Caenorhabditis elegans: one gene and its partner. Changing the gene in region 2 together with the main gene of any one other region gives a genetic interaction. Each region holds a gene or a part of one and is shown on either strand. Other genes may lie near its edges. The genes, in order: set-6 and eaf-1.

What was found.
Region 1: changes in eaf-1 (region 2) and set-6 impair growth when combined (synthetic growth defect), as found in Caenorhabditis elegans (one large-scale study listed by BioGRID).

The regions. Positions count from the first base shown.
Region 1 is NC_003284.9:11,970,916-11,979,420, reverse strand, and holds the start of set-6 (Histone-lysine N-methyltransferase set-6), read left to right. Parts: upstream 1-4,741; 5' UTR 4,742-4,744; coding exon 4,745-4,831; intron 4,832-4,913; coding exon 4,914-5,057; intron 5,058-5,155; coding exon 5,156-5,251; intron 5,252-5,826; coding exon 5,827-5,928; intron 5,929-6,042; coding exon 6,043-6,147; intron 6,148-6,292; coding exon 6,293-6,600; intron 6,601-6,647; coding exon 6,648-6,900; intron 6,901-7,430; coding exon 7,431-7,562; intron 7,563-7,614; coding exon 7,615-8,166; intron 8,167-8,505.
Region 2 is NC_003279.8:4,598,471-4,606,746, forward strand, and holds eaf-1 (Ell-associated factor Eaf), read left to right. Parts: upstream 1-4,746; 5' UTR 4,747-4,752; coding exon 4,753-4,867; intron 4,868-4,945; coding exon 4,946-5,586; 3' UTR 5,587-5,726; downstream 5,727-8,276. Other genes in the region: nrd-1 (CID domain-containing protein), read right to left, coding at 1-9, 65-159, 650-1,101, 1,421-1,555, 1,617-2,155, 2,422-3,044, 3,114-3,633, 3,680-3,938 and 1 more; D1007.8 (Nucleic acid-binding, OB-fold protein), read left to right, coding at 5,933-6,148, 6,197-6,382, 6,430-6,807; C44E4.5 (NudC domain-containing protein 1), read left to right, coding at 7,219-7,330, 7,381-7,547, 7,644-7,962, 8,014-8,081.

The DNA of each region.
Region 1 (8,505 bases), on a different chromosome or scaffold from region 2:
TACCTTTTAATGCGTATTTTATTATTTAATGAAAACTATCATTTATAAACAAAAATTGATGAATTTTCGTAATTTTGAAAATTCATAAATCTCTTCAAAGTAACTTTTTTTGAAATGTCTTTCAGAAACTTTGTAGTAAATTTTAAGCTCTTTTAGAATTTACCAACAATATTTCAGTAAGTACAAGAAGCTTCACGTAGTTACAGAAATAGTACATTTTCAGCCCTACCTTTTAATGCGTATTTTATTATTTAATGAAAACTATCATTTATAAACAAAAATTGATGAATTTTCGTAATTTTGAAAATTCATAAATCTCTTCAAAGTAACTTTTTTCGAAATGTCTTTCAGAAACTTTGTAGTAAATTTTAAGCTCTTTCAGAATAAATAAAAAATATTTCAGTAGGTACAAGAAGCTTCACGTAGTTACAGATATAGTACATTTTCAGCCCTACCTTATAATGCGTATTTTATTATTTAATTAAAACTACCATTTATAGGCAAAAATAGATGAATTTTCCAAACTTTGAAAATTCATAAATCTCTTCAAAGTAACTTTTTTCAAACATTCTATCATTGTCCAACCTAATGCAAGAAAATGTATTCAGAATATATTAACAATATTTCAGTAGGTACAAGAAGCTTCACGTAGTTACAGAAATAGTACATTTTCAGCCCTACCTTTTAGTGCGTATTTTATTATTTAATAAAAACTACCATTAATAGGCAAAAATATATGGATTTTCCAAACCTTTGAAAATTCATAAATCTCTTCAAAGTAACTTTTTTCGAAATGTCTTTCAGAAACTTTGTAGTAAATTTTAAGCTCTTTCAGAATATATTAACAATATTTCAGTAGGTACAAGAAGCTTCACGTAGTTACAGAAATAGTACATTTTCAGCCCTACCTTTTAGTGCGTATTTTATTATTTAATAAAAACTACCATTAATAGGCAAAAATAGATGAATTTTCGTAATTTTGAAAATTCATAAATCTCTTCAAAGTAACTTTTTTCGAAATGTCTTTCAGAAACTTTGTAGTAAATTTTAAGCTCTTTCAGAATATATTAACAATATTTCAGTAGGTACAAGAAGCTTCACGTAGTTACAGAAATAGTACATTTTCAGCCCTACCTTTTAATGCGTATTTTAGTATTTAATGAAAACTACCATTTAAAGGCAAAAATAGATGAATTTTCGTAATTTTGAAAATTCATAAATCTCTTCAAAGTAACTTTTTTTGAAATGTCTTTCAGAAACTTTGGAGTAAATTTTAAGCTCTTTTAGAATTTACCAACAATATTTCAGTAAGTACAAGAAGCTTCACGTAGTTACAGAAATAGTACATTTTCAGCCCTACCTTTTAATGCGTATTTTATTATTTAATGAAAACTATCATTTATAAACAAAAATTGATGAATTTTCGTAATTTTGAAAATTCATAAATCTCTTCAAAGTAACTTTTTTCGAAATGTCTTTCAGAAACTTTGTAGTAAATTTTAAGCTCTTTCAGAATATATTAACAATATTTCAGTAGGTACAAGAAGCTTCACGTAGTTACAGAAATAGTACATTTTCAGCCCTACCTTTTAATGCGTATTTTAGTATTTAATGAAAACTACCATTTAAAGGCAAAAATAGATGAATTTTCGTAATTTTGAAAATTCATAAATCTCTTCAAAGTAACTTTTTTCGAAATGTCTTTCAGAAACTTTGTAGTAAATTTTAAGCTCTTTCAGAATATATTAACAATATTTCAGTAGGTACAAGAAGCTTCACGTAGTTACAGAAATAGTACATTTTCAGCCCTACCTTTTAATGCGTATTTTAGTATTTAATGAAAACTACCATTTAAAGGCAAAAATAGATGAATTTTCGTAATTTTGAAAATTCATAAATCTCTTCAAAGTAACTTTTTTTGAAATGTCTTTCAGAAACTTTGTAGTAAATTTTAAGCTCTTGTAGAATTTACCAACAATATTTCAGTAAGTACAAGAAGCTTCACGTAGTTACAGAAATAGTACATTTTCAGCCCTACCTTTTAGTGCGTATTTTATTATTTAATTAAAACTACCATTTAGAGGCAAAAATAGATGAATTTTCGTAATTTTGAAAATTCATAAATCTCTTCAAAGTAACTTTTTTTGAAATGTCTTTCAGAAACTTTGTAGTAAATTTTAAGCTCTTGTAGAATTTACCAACAATATTTCAGTAAGTACAAGAAGCTTCACGTAGTTACAGAAATAGTACATTTTCAGCCCTACCTTTTAATGCGTATTTTAGTATTTAATGAAAACTACCATTTAAAGGCAAAAATAGATGAATTTTCGTAATTTTGAAAATTCATAAATCTCTTCAAAGTAACTTTTTTTGAAATGTCTTTCAGAAACTTTGTAGTAAATTTTAAGCTCTTTCAGAATATATTAACAATATTTCAGTAGGTACAAGAAGCTTCACGTAGTTACAGAAATAGTACATTTTCAGCCCTACCTTATAATGCGTATTTTATTATTTAATTAAAACTACCATTTATAGGCAAAAATAGAGGGATTTTCCAAACTTTGAAAATTCATAAATCTCTTCAAAGTAACTTTTTTTGAAATGTCTTTCAGAAACTTTGTAGTAAATTTTAAGCTCTTTCAGAATATATTAACAATATTTCAGTAGGTACAAGAAGCTTCACGTAGTTACAGAAATAGTACATTTTCAGCCCTACCTTATAATGCGTATTTTATTATTTAATGAAAACTACCATTTAGAGGCAAAAATAGATGAATTTTCGTAATTTTGAAAATTCATAAATCTCTTCAAAGTAACTTTTTTCGAAATGTCTTTCAGAAACTTTGTAGTAAATTTTAAGCTCTTTCAGAATATATTAACAATATTTCAGTAGGTACAAGAAGCTTCACGTAGTTACAGAAATAGTACATTTTCAGCCCTACCTTATAATGCGTATTTTATTATTTAATTAAAACTACCATTTATAGGCAAAAATAGATGAATTTTCCAAACTTTGAAAATTCATAAATCTCTTCAAAGTAACTTTTTTCAAAATGTCTTTCAAAAACTCTGTAGTAAATTTTAAGCTCTTTCAGAATATATTAACAATATTTCAGTAGGTACAAGAAGCTTCACGTAGTTACAGAAATAGTACATTTTCAGCCCTACCTTATAATGCGTATTTTATTATTTAATAAAAACTACCATTAATAGGCAAAAATATATGGATTTTCGTAACTTTGAAAATTCATAAATCTCTTCAAAGTAACTTTTTTCGAAATGTCTTTCAGAAACTTTGTAGTAAATTTTAAGCTCTTTCAGAATATATTAACAATATTTCAGTAGGTACAAGAAGCTTCACGTAGTTACAGAAATAGTACATTTTCAGCCCTACCTTATAATGCGTATTTTATTATTTAATGAAAACTACCATTTAGAGGCAAAAATAGATGAATTTTCGTAATTTTCAAAATTCATAAATCTCTTCAAAGTAACTTTTTTTGAAATGTCTTTCAGAAACTTTGTAGTAAATTTTAAGCTCTTTCAGAATATATTAACAATATTCCAGTAGGTACAAGAAGCTTCACGTAGTTACAGAAATAGTACATTTTCAGCTTTACCTTTTAGTGCGTATTTTATTAGTTAATGAAAACTACCATTAATAGGCAAAAATAGATGGATTTTCCAAACTTTGAAAATTCATAAATCTCTTCAAAGTAACTTTTTTCGAAATGTCTTTTAGAAACTTTGTAGTAAATTTTAAGCTCTTTTAGAATATACCAACAATATTCCAGTAGGTACAAGAAGCTTCACGTAGTTACAGAAATAGTACATTTTCAGCTTTACCTTTTAGTGCGTATTTTATTAGTTAATGAAAACTACCATTTATAGGCAAAAATAGATGAATTTTTATTAAATAATAAAATACGCTCTAAAAGGTAGGGCTGAAAATGTACTATTTCTGTAACTACGTGAAGCTTCTTGTAACTACTGAAATATTGTTAATATATTCTGAAAGAGCTTAAAATTTACTACAAAGTTTCTGAAAGACATTTCAAAAAAAGTTACTTTGAAGAGATTTATGAATTTTCAAAATTACAAAAATTCATCTATTTTTGCCTATTAATGGTAGTTTTTATTAAATAATAAAATACGCTCTAAAAGGTAGGGCTGAAAATGTACTATTTCTGTAACTACGTGAAGCTTCTTGTACCTACTGGAATATTGTTGGTATATTCTAAAATTATTCAGCTATATCGTATCGTATTCAGCTATATCGTATCGTATTTAGCTATATCGTTTGTCTTTTGTGCCTTCATTCTTTTAAAGACATAACATTTTACTAATAGGCTTTTTTTTCTAAATTTTGATACTGCTCATACGAATACAATTGAAGATTTTAATATTGTCTTCGCTCCTCTCACATTTGTCAGTCAATTGAACTGGTTAGAATGCACTCTCTAAATCTCTCTTCCCCAATTCCAGTCTCTCTTCTCTCTCAAACTGCTTTAGTATCTGCGTCTGTTAGTACGTCTGCTCTCTATTTGTTCCGCTTTTTCACTGGACAAGATTATTGATTTTTTCAAAACGCGAGTTAACTTGTCATATTGTTAGTTCTTTTTTTCGAAAGTTTTCAATAATTGAATCTTATTTTTTCTTTGTACTATAGTAATAATCGTAATTTTTTATTCATCGACATGAAATTCATTTTCCACAACTTTAATTAGTTTACTGCTTATAGAAAATGGAACGATCTCGAACTGGAGGTTCATCAACATATTCAATGTCAACAGCAAATGTTCCAATAATAACAATAAGTGACGACGACGATGTAAGTGCCATTTTTGTAGATGGAAGTTTGTTTGAAATAGAAACGTTTCCTAGATTTCATTTTCACGATAACTTATCTTCAGGAACTGACCATTTGGGAAGAACCACGGAAAAGCCCCATCTCATCAAATAGTTATTCAGATGAAAGAAATCACTCCCTATCTAGCACATCAAATAGCTCTGTTGAACGGTCTATTATAATTACAATTAGTGATGATGAATCTGAAGTAAGTTTTCAATGTTTTTGACTTCTCAACAAACAAAAAGATATATATTCTGAATAGTTGCAAATTTATAGTTCCGCCTAATCACAGTCATTTTACAGGCTACGGAAAGAAACCAGCAGGAAGTTGTTGATCGAGCGATTTCAAATAATTTGACGGAAAAGCGTAGAAGATCAGTTGAATCTTTTCATAGATTAGTAGGTTGTTTTTATTTTTGAAACGAGATTCTTCAAATATAACAATTTCAACGGTAATATCTACTAGCCTAATTTTAACAAAAAATGTATTCTCTGCACAGTACTGAAAAAAAGTATGAAATTGAAATGTGCAGCTTGCTACTAATTTTTAAATAAGTATAACGTCAAATGCTCATTGAAGCAGTCTGGCGACTTTCAGCTCCAAATTTATTGAACTCTGGAAAAATGATTCGAACGTGAATAGTCACTAGAGCAAATTACTCAGAAGTGACAACGGCCTGGAATGCAGATTAACTGGATTGCTCACTTCTATAACTAAAAACTACTTTCAAATTGTATTTGTTTAATGACAATGTTCACTTTTCATGCTAGAAACTAGAAATTTTTAAAAAAAGTTTTGAATGTGAAAATACAGAAAAAATACGGTTTTCATCCATTGGCCATTATCAAAATTGTTCTTGAACTGTTTGACTCCCTGATATGTTCATATTTTAATCGTACGTGATGAGAATTTGTTTGTATATCAAACAATTGCTACAAAAAAAACATAATTTTCACAATAATACTAATTCCAGCATTCGAAAGAAAGAAAACTGGAAGTTAAGTCTCGAAAAAAGAGTAGGACCTCATCGAGCTCAATGGAAGCATCCACATCATGTACATTTCCAGCACGCCAAGTGGGTTTTACATATTTTATTGCCACCGAATTCCGTTAGTTCAAATTCGCTAAGAACATTTACAGAGAGATTTAGAGAGACCCCTCCTTGTGCAACAAAATGTTTTTTTTTCAGACAAAAACAAAACGTCATAAAAGGAAAACATACAGCACAATATCTTCGTTTGCTCCTCATCACAGTACTATATGTGCAGAACTACGAAACGTCAACCCAGCGAGGGTAATCATATTTACAGATTTTAAAAATTTGAAAACCGAATTGAATAAAACTGTTGTATTTACAATAACTGAAAAACAGTGCTCAACTGTATCATTCAAAATTATCTACTTATTGACAATGTTCTAGCTGAAAATTGTATTTTCAGATTGCGGACTTTCGTCACCCATCTATTTTTGAGTACTCCGACATGAGCTTGAATGAAAGAAGAGAACACTGGAAAAAAGAAATGAAAGTAATAAAGAAACACAACGACATCCGTCTAATGCACGAAGAAGCTGTTAGGTTCGACGACATTATAGAGCTAGACCCAACGTTGAATGGATATTACCGAAGATTCATGGGAGCCGAGCAAAGCACGAGAGCTCTGTTTATGGCTGTTCGATGTCTGGCCACCTTTGGCCGTAATTTCTATGAAGAACCTGAACGTGATCATGGGGAAGAAGAAATACCTGAGTGAGGAATTTTTATGTAGACTTATATGTTATAAAGCTTAATTTCAGAGAGCTCGACCGTTACTTTGAAAAGTTGATATATGTGGCGCCTAGAACACGGATTCGTATTACGGATGATATTCACTTGTCAAATGATACCCACAGAATTCCAGTTTACACAGATGCAAAAGGCGAAACACTAAAAACAGTCAAAATTCCAAACCCCCTTCTTTATGATCACATTATCAACAATATGGTGGACAAAGTTAAAGAGCCGTTGCTATATGAAGCAATCAAAATTGCAGGATCGTCAGAAAATGTGGTATGATGTTTTTCGATTCGAATTTATAAAACAACTGGCAAGTTGAAAAATTAAAATTGTAATTCGATAGTTTTTGCAACGACAGGCTTTGGCAATAGAAAAACATTCTTGAACAGTTGTGATGAGCGACCTAAGAAAAAACGTGTAGAATAAGTAGTAGTAGAGAACGTCAAGTTGGAGAACAAGTAAAAACCATTTTTATGGCTCTAAAATCATCAAATATCACAATTGTAAAATTTTGAACTTAATTTGGAAAACGTTTTGATTTTTTTCAAAATCCGAGAATAAAACGGTAAAAACTGAGTTTTCATCAACTTTATGTTTAAAAAAAATGTTTTTCTTCCAGTTTCTAGTAGTAGTTTTATGTTTGAATTATGTTTAAAATATTTTTAATTCAAAATTGTAAGGGGTTGAAACTGTTAGAATATTAAAAAACACTCTAAGAGAAGGAATTATATATGATTTAAAAATAAAAGTAAATGACAATGCAATATTTCATTTAGTAAAAGTATATCAGCTTTTTTATTCAGATTCGTTGTAAATGTTGTTCCCAAGATCCAGTCGTCAACTGTTTTGATAACAAAGATTGCCCGTGTTTTATTGCAAATCAGTTTTTGCAATCTAGAAACAAAACAACGGATACAAATGAAAAGTTGAAATTTGTAAGTATATTTCTCAGTTTTAATAATTATTTTGCAAATTGTCTATTTTCAGCATACTTTTCAACCCCTTATGTACAACGATGGAAATCCGACTTACTACAATACTGTTGGGTTTGCATGTTCACCAAAATGTGCTTGTAAAGGAGCTTGCACTAATAATGCAACGTACTTGATTCAAAAGAAACTGTACTCTATTGAAATTTATCGTGCAGATCCTCAAATTGGATTTGGAATTCGATCTACTCTGTTCATTCCAGCAGGGACTCCAATTATTGAATACTGCGGAGAACTAGTTGATGGAGAACGGCTGCATAGTTCATTGGAAAATTATAGTTACCAGTTAACTGACTGTGAAGGAGACAAACACCTTTACAACCTGCTTCGTGAAAAGTACAAAAACAATCCAGAATACTATGATGTACTGGACGAATTGAGCAAGCATCATTTTCACTTGGACGCCAAAATGCAAGGAAGTGTTGGCAGATTTGCAAATCATTCATGTACTCCGAATATGGAACCTCTTCGACTTTTCAAAGAAGGATTTACACCCGCCAATATGCGAATGATTTTTTTCACTCTGAAGGACATTTTTCCAGGAGAACCTGTAAGGAAATTTTTATATTTTTAAAATAAAGCAGCCATAGATGGGCCTGCCTGAAAAAGTGTCAATTCTGTTCCGGGTACAACATTTTAGTTACATTAAACTGAAAAAGTTCAGAATATATGGTACATTTTGCATGCAAATCTCATTTCCAATTTGTCCAATCGAGAGTCTAATAGAGGTTGCATATCATATTTTTTGATCAGTAAGACTTGTACAGTTTTGTATGTGATTTGAAAGACAAAAAATCACCTTAAATTACTCCCATTACACATTATTTCTTGAGAATCAACTGGATAAATATTGAAAAATCAACGAACAACTAAAAAATATACTTTTAAA
Region 2 (8,276 bases):
CTTCTTCGACTGAAAATATTGAAATAATTAGAAATTTCAATCTATTTTTTTTTTTGCAATTTACCACTAGTTTTTTTGACTGGTGGTTCCTCTCTTTCATAGCTTGGAGAACGTCTTGTACGCCGATCCGGGGAACGTGGAGACCGTGGAGAGCGGCGTCTGTAACTTTGTTTTGATTAATTTTTTATTGATTAAAGGTGGAGTTCCATCAATGGGAATTTTACTTCAAAATACTCAAGCTGGCCAATTAACTACAAAAAGGAAATGAAAAAAAAATGCATGAAGCATGAAAATATTATTTTTACGATTTTACAACTCTTGCTAATCTCCTAATTTGAATTACCGCGCGTTTGACTCTGAACTCCGCCTAAAACAATGCCGCAGTTCGGCTTTTTTTCCAATTTCGACGCAAACTCTGCTTTTTTTGTGCGGTTTTTCCAATTTTTATAATTTTTAGCAAAGGCCAGAAATACTCAATAATTGTTTCTTATTTGAAAATTTTTGGATGTTAGCAGGAGTTGCAAAAGCGCTGTTTTTTTTTCAAATTTAACGCAGCTTTTTCGTTTTTCTTTTGTGGTACTTCTGAATTTGAGACAATTTGCATTTTTTCATGCCTACTCCACTTTAATTACAGATCAGTCTAACAAACCTTGATTCACGACGATCATCACGTCTATCATCACGGCGGTCATCATCACGACGATCATCATCTCCCCAACGAGAACGTCTCCTAGCTCCCATATCATCTTGTCTACGACGATCAATTTGAGAACGATCACGATCATAATCACGATGTTCTCTTCCTCCATCTCTTCCTGCACCACCGCCGCCGCGCATCTCTCGTTGTTCACGATTCCACATTTCAGATTGATCCAAAAGACGTCCACGTCCATTTTCCGGACGGAATGGTGGACCTCCACCACCTCGTCTATCAAAATGTGGTGGTGGTGGACCACCGTGTCCTCCACGTCCACCACGGAATGATGGTGGTGGTGGCATATGATGCATACCGCCACGTGGTGGTGGTGGGAATGAGCTCATTGGACCAGCTCCACGGCCAAATGGTGGTGGTGGTGCGCCAGCGTTGAATCCTTGTTGGAACTGAAATTTTTGATTAGAATAGACATTTTAAATAACATAGAGCGGGTTTTACTACGTGACCTAGGAAAATCATGCACCCAGATTTTTCTGAAACTTGCCGAAAATGATCTTATAAAGGGTTTATATCGTTCTGTGGTGGCGATTTTCGAATGAAAATTTTTCTTTTTTATTTTAAATGGGTGGCCGAGTTTTCTGTTTTCTTTTAGCATAAATTTTTTCATTTTTTCGAAATTTTGAACCACCGAAACTCGTTCATTTGGGCAAATTTCGAGTCTTTACAATCCAAAAACTCAGAAGTCATCCTTTAATAACTTCTTACCATTGGTGGTGGTGGCTTATTTGGATCGAATCCCATTGGTGGAATACCCTGTGGTGGTGGAGGACCAACTCCTGGCGGTGGTGGAGCCGGTGGATATCCTGGAATTCCGGGTGGTGGTGGAGCATTGAGATTGAACTGAAATTAATTTGGTAAGATATAAAAGTCTACAAAAATCATTATTAAAGAGATAAATTACCATCGGTGGAACACCTGGAGGAAGACCTGCAGGTCTTGGTTGACCGGGTAATTGTGTGAGTTGATGTTGGAATGGGAAACCCATTGGAGGTGGATGTGGGACTGGAGGTTGAATATTTGGTGGTGGTATAGAAATCACTGTTTCGCCGGTTTCTTTATAAAGCAATTTCTTTTCAATTGGTAGAGATTCAATATCCAACATAGCTCCTTCACAAAGTGCCACTAAATCCAGCGGAAGTTTTTCATATGGGATTTCCAAGACTCCACGATTAGAATCCCATAAATCAGAAAATTGATCTGAATCCATCCCAGGACTTCTTGCCCAGTAAACTTTGACCATTTTCTTGGCGACCGAAACTTCACGCATTTTTGAAACAACATCGTTCGCAGATCTTCGATTTTCCATTGTGATGTAGGCGCATGCACGATTTCCGATAACTTTAACACGAGATGCTTCTCCACATGATTCGACGGCTTGCTTCAAATCGTTTTCAACTATATTTGTGGGGATTTTCTTGAGCCAAAGTGTACGTGAGGCGACTGTAAATTGAAGAAAATATTAATTTGTTTGAATTTCAATAAATTTGTTAAGATATTGTTTCGATACAATATTTCAGGAATTATTTCATAGTGATTTTGTATGATTTTTACAAGGAGCACCAATTTTTTATACGAAAAAGACTTCGAATGATTTTATTATTTTTAAAATCAAAATTGAAATCATCCAAAAATCCCTTTTTTTTGGAAGTTTTTTAGCTCTTCTTGTAAAATCATACAAAATCGCAACTCGTTGTTGTAAAACATACTAATAGTAAATCCAATTCTAACAGGTGGCAATCCCATTCTTCTTCTCTCTTTGCTCTCTCTTTCCTTCTCTTTTTCCCTTAATCGAGCTCGTTCCACATCTCCACTATTGTTAATTCCACTATTTCCACCACTTAATTCCAATATTTTTTTCTCTGGACTCTGTGCGGCTTCATTCAACATTGCTTGCTGTTGAGCTGCTGCGGCGGCTTGGAGGTCATTTAACATTGGATTAACACCATGTTGAAGAGCAAATGGATTAAGCAATGGATTTCCAAGCATAAGAAGATTTCGCTGAGCATTTGGATTTCCTTGTAGAGCTTGAAGTTGAGCAGCACGTTGTTGCAGTTGGAGCATATTCTGAGCATTTTGAACATTCATCAGTTGGGCTTGGTTGAGGCCTGAGAGATTTGGAAGTCCGAGCTGTTGATTTGGAAAACCTGGCGGCAGAGATTGTTGAAGAGCCATCAGATTTGGTGGTGGAGCTCCCAATGTTAAAGCTGCTGACGATGTTGGAACAATATGTTCGCCTGGGAACGGAAGACCAAATGGATTTCCTTGAGGTATCAAGACTTCAGCGAGTTTTGCGAGTATTTGAGGTTGAGTAAGCAAACTTTGAGCCAATCTAGAATTTGAAAAAAAAATTAGAAACATTCTGGAATTAAGAAAAAAATAAAATGCATCAAAAACTCACAACAGGACTTGAGCATGTGGCAGATTTTTCTGTTTCTCTGGTTGTGGTTCCTTTTCCTTCTCTTCTTCATCATCCGAGTATTCAAAATCTTTTGTTAACACATTCTGTATACTACTTCCATTAATCCGATTATTCTCCGCTAGAACTTCTTCTACTTTTTGACTCAAGGATCCAGCGAATATTTGAAGTGCTCTCTGGAGAAGATTCTTGTCCTTACTTAAAACTCCACTGCGATCTATGCCGAACTTCTGAACCAATTCCAACATTTCTCTCTCAGAAATAGTTCCAAGGAAGTAATCTTCAGAAAGCACAAAGTTCGGAATATCTGGGACAGATCTCAGAGCAGATGATGGTCCAGCACCGAGAAGTCCATCATCCGGATGTGGATTTGTAGGAGTACGAGATTTCGGTTGAGACGATGATGAAGACCTTTTTGGCTTTTTCTTGTAAACTCCGGAATAAATGCTCATATCAGCCTGTTTTCCCTTCACGGCGAGCTCAACTTCCTCGAAATCGATAGCTAAAAATCAAACTTTTTTTTTGAATTCTCCACCATAATTACTTACTTAATCCAGAAGCCTTGCACATCTCTCTCAGTGGTTGAATCTCTGATTCCTTGAAAACTTTATTGGACATCCACAAATTAAGAGTTCTAACTGTTCTCATTTTCTCTTTCTGTCCACACTTTAACAGCGGCATCAAAAACTTGTCAAACTGCTTCATAAACCGTGGGCCAAATGTGTCTTTTTCTTTAAGTTGATGTTTTGAAGCACGGACTATTGAATCGATTACATAGAGCACATTTAGACGTTGATCTGGCTTGCACTGAAAAATCATTAATAAAAATAAATAAATTATTTAATTTAAATTTCGATTTCTCGAAATCATTCTAACCTTATTGATAAGTTTTTCAACTGAAAAAACCACATGCTTATATTGGCTTTTTGCTTTGATCGCAGCCTTTGTTATATCCTGAATCTTGTTCTTGCTCATGTTTTTCGAGTCGAATAGTGACGACAATTCATTATTAAACGATTTCATCACTTCCGTCTCCATGGTGATCCCACTGATGAGAGTTTTGTTCTGAAAAAAGCCAATTCAAATTAAAATCGATAATGCGAAGCGAGAAAATAAACTGAATAAAAGGAATAGTGGAAAGATACAATTGCAGAATTAAGAGTAAAGGTGGATGTGCTAATTTTAACGAATAGCAAATATTCCAAACGCTTATTTTTGAAAAATCGATAAATGCGATATGTCGACGGTTTAAAATCCAATGTAAACTATTTTCCCACTAAGTTTTTTCATGATTTTGATACTTTTTCAGTAGTTGAATATAATTTAATAATTTATGTACAAATTCATCTAATTATAGCGTTTTGAATGAAAATAGGAAAGAAAGCCGGCATAAAAATGGTAAAGCGCCGAGGTCAACACTGTGCCGCACACTTGCAAAACGGCGTGCCAGGCTTGCCAACCGAAGACTCCGCCCACAGCTAATGGTACTCTCGCGCACACAATTGGCACTATTCTGAAGAATTTCATTGTAATATATAATAAAATTATCGATTTTTTTTTCAAATTAAAAAATTCAAAATATTCACATATGATTTAATAATAATCATTTTTTCAGTTTCACATGGCAGAGTCAAGTGATATTCCGAATGGTACTTACACCTTGACCCTCGGGAAGTCATTTGAAGTAAAAGGACGGAAAAGTGACCCTAAGGCAGAGCAATTTCACACGCTAAGATGTAGGTTAACTGCACAATTTTAAGATTAAATATATCAGAAATTTAAAAATATAAAATCGAAATAGCTAAAATTTACAGACGATTTCAAGCCAAGCTCTGTATCAAACAATGCCGACACCTTCATAGCGTTTGGGAACAGCGGTGATGTACATGTCTCTGTACCAAGCGAAGGAGACAATATGACTGTATATAAAGGATCGAAAAAAGAAGCAAAACCGAAAGAATGTCTTCTGTTCTTCGACAAAAAGACCAACACAGTTCGCTTGGAGAAAATTACGAGCAATATTAATGTAAAAAAGACGAGAGATCTAGATCAAGGAACAGAACTCGCATTGAAACGTGGAATCGAAAGATTGAGAACTTCTTCTAATAATCAGCGATCTGGACCATCTTCACCGGAGGAGAAAGCGAAAATTCAGAAACAAATGCAGAGAGATACATCAGATTCGAGTAGTGATTCTGATGGATCATCTGATTCCGACAAATCGAATGGCGATTCCAGTGATGATGAAGATGAGAGCGAGAAGATATTATTGGAAGAAATGAAAAAGCCCAAACCATATACAGAAAGAGAACCCGCACCGCCTTCGTCTTCAAATACCTACAATCACAAAGAAAGCCACGTGGCTCCCTATATATCAAGTAGTGGAAATAAAAACAAAGATTCTGAGGAGAAGTATGGATTGGCACTTAGCGAAAGCTCCGACGAAGATGACTAATTTTAAAACATAATATTATTCAGTGTATTCAACCGTCTTTCTTGTGTACTTGTACTAGTGGTGGCAGTTATTTGCTTCTGTGATTTTTTATTTATTTCAAAACCGGGCTATCTATCGCAATCATAAATTTTTTCATTCAGGCTATTCAACAGTTTTATTTTTTCAGGTTTTCTGTTTAATCCGTGCACTATTTTAAAGTCGAACTAAAGTTTCTCTGAAATTTTTAAAATTCGCTGAAACCATTTTATCAATAGAGCATGCTTCTTGCGCTAAACAGTGTCGTTTGTAGACGTCGATTTTATCTTCAAATTTCTGTGTTTTTCTCACATATTGTTCATGATTTCAGATGGAAACTCACCGGTATATTCCAGAACATGCCGTCCCAATGCCGATTTCAGCGCTATTCAATTCAACAAAAGAACGAATCGAGTACGGAACGGCAGACGTTGTTCGCGTTCAAGTGATGGGTGTAATCGAATCTGTGAAGTTCGGAGATTCTGATGTAGAATACATGATTACTGATAAAGATAATCATAATATTTTGGTTCAAAAAATCCTCACCGTTAGTCTGAATATATCGTGTAACATTGGAAAAAAGTATTAATTTCAGGCTTCTTTCACCGAAGAATCTGCCAAGAAGTTCAACGTCGGGGACCGTGTTGAAGTATTCGGAAAAGTTCGAATTTTGGAGAATGGAAAGAAGTTTTTGAACGCATTTTCGATGCACAAAGCTTCAGATGAACAATTCGCCGCTTTTCAAATAATCTGCCGTTTTTCAGAGAAGTTCTATAAAAAGGCAAGTTTCAGTGAATTTTTAAAAGCCAATAATTGCCCATTTTCCAGCACACACCTATCTTGCCAGCAGGCGCCAGCACCAATGTTCCTACTCGTTTCGGTTTGAAGAACAAAGTGGGAAGTTTGAATCGGTTCCCAATGGGAATGCTGGAACAATCATCTTCTTGCGAAAATAATATGGGAGTGTGGCCAACGGAAATTGAACAATTGGCAGCAGGAATATCGACAAGTGGACTTGTTAAAGAAGAATCAGATGTATCTGAGGATAGCAGTGATGATTCGGATGAAGAGGATGAGGAGGAAGAAGAAGAAGATGATGAGGAAGATTCATTTGATAAAGGACCAGTGAGCCTTGTGCCAATGGCTCGAAAGGAGAAGCCAAAAGAGGAGCCGGAACCAGAATATGATTCCTTCGAAAACGCCTGAATTTATAATATTCAGCTTAATTTTATTTTATCGTGTTCAATTTTCACTTATAGACATCTTGCCTTGTCTTTCATTCCACAATCTGTTTTATAAACTTTTATTTCTTTTTTTTTAAATAATTTCAATTTCTAATATGTTCCCTTAAAGGTTTTAAACCTTTTTTCATATCTTCAGTCGGCGGCACACGGTAATTGCCATTTTCCCAATATTCTTTCTAATGAAATTTCAGTATTCTACAACTAAATTTTAATGAAAGAAATTGGTAGAACATTTTATAATAAAAAACGCTTGAAATAAGCAAAATGAAACTAAGAAACTTCTATTTTTCACCAAAAAATTGATTTTTTAGTAATTCATCGAAAAAAAAATGGTTTCAGGCCTGGTCAATCCCCTATACCAATTAAATCTAAAATGCAATCAATCAATCTTCCTGTGGATCATTCCAAGATTGATGCTAACTTTGAAGGATACAAAGTTTCCATGAATAATGTGCACTTTTCGAGCAAAAGCCTGGATCAAAATTGTAATAAAAATCATTTAAATTTTCCATTTTTCGCAAAAAATAATTTTCAGTATGTCTTCGTGCTCCATCCAATGAAATGATTACTCTGCAACATATGAAAGTGTTCTCAAATGATAATCAGCTGTTTTGTGATTATTCGAAATGCACGGATTCCCAACAATTTTTGTATCGTATTTTAGACACCGGGCATATTCAGGCAATGGTTTATGAGAAAAAGGTACATAATTTTACTGTGAATGAGGGTTTCGCTTCAAAAATACTTAACGAATAAACTTAATTGTTTCTTTTCAAAAAATTAAATAAATAATTTCAGACCCAAATATGGAATACCTCGATCGTTGGCTCCATTGATGTTGGGACAAATGCCTCTTCCGCTTTTCCTACTAATCTCTTGTTCACTGAAAACAATCTGGTCGTCGCTTGCAATGGAATTTCTGAAATTACAGTTTTCCTGGCTGTCTCTGACTCAAATTGGGTTAAAATGCTGGAGCATAAGGTTTCAGAGCAAGGTCTTTCACTGATTGAAGCTCGAATTTTAAATGGAAAACTTAATATTTTGGCATATCACGTGGAAAGTGATGATTCCAAAAAGACCAGAAGCAGAATTCACTCGATTCGTATTAATTTGGATGGTTTGTATAATTAAATTTTGAAAAGTAAAAAATTTCCTTCTTTTTTTCCAGATATAGACTATGCTGATAGCCTTACAGTTGAGAAATCAATGGATTTAATTCAAAATGGACACTTTGAGGTTAATTTTTTGAAAATATCAGCGAGGTGCAAAATTTTGCAATGTATCCGGTCTCGACACGCTTTTGCTGTGAAGTAAAAACTGGCGCGCGCCTTTAAAGAGTACTGTAGATTCAAACTTATTTTTAATAGTTTATTTTTATAATTTGTGTGTTTTAATTGTTTTATTCTAGTTGTTTAATAAATATATATTTTT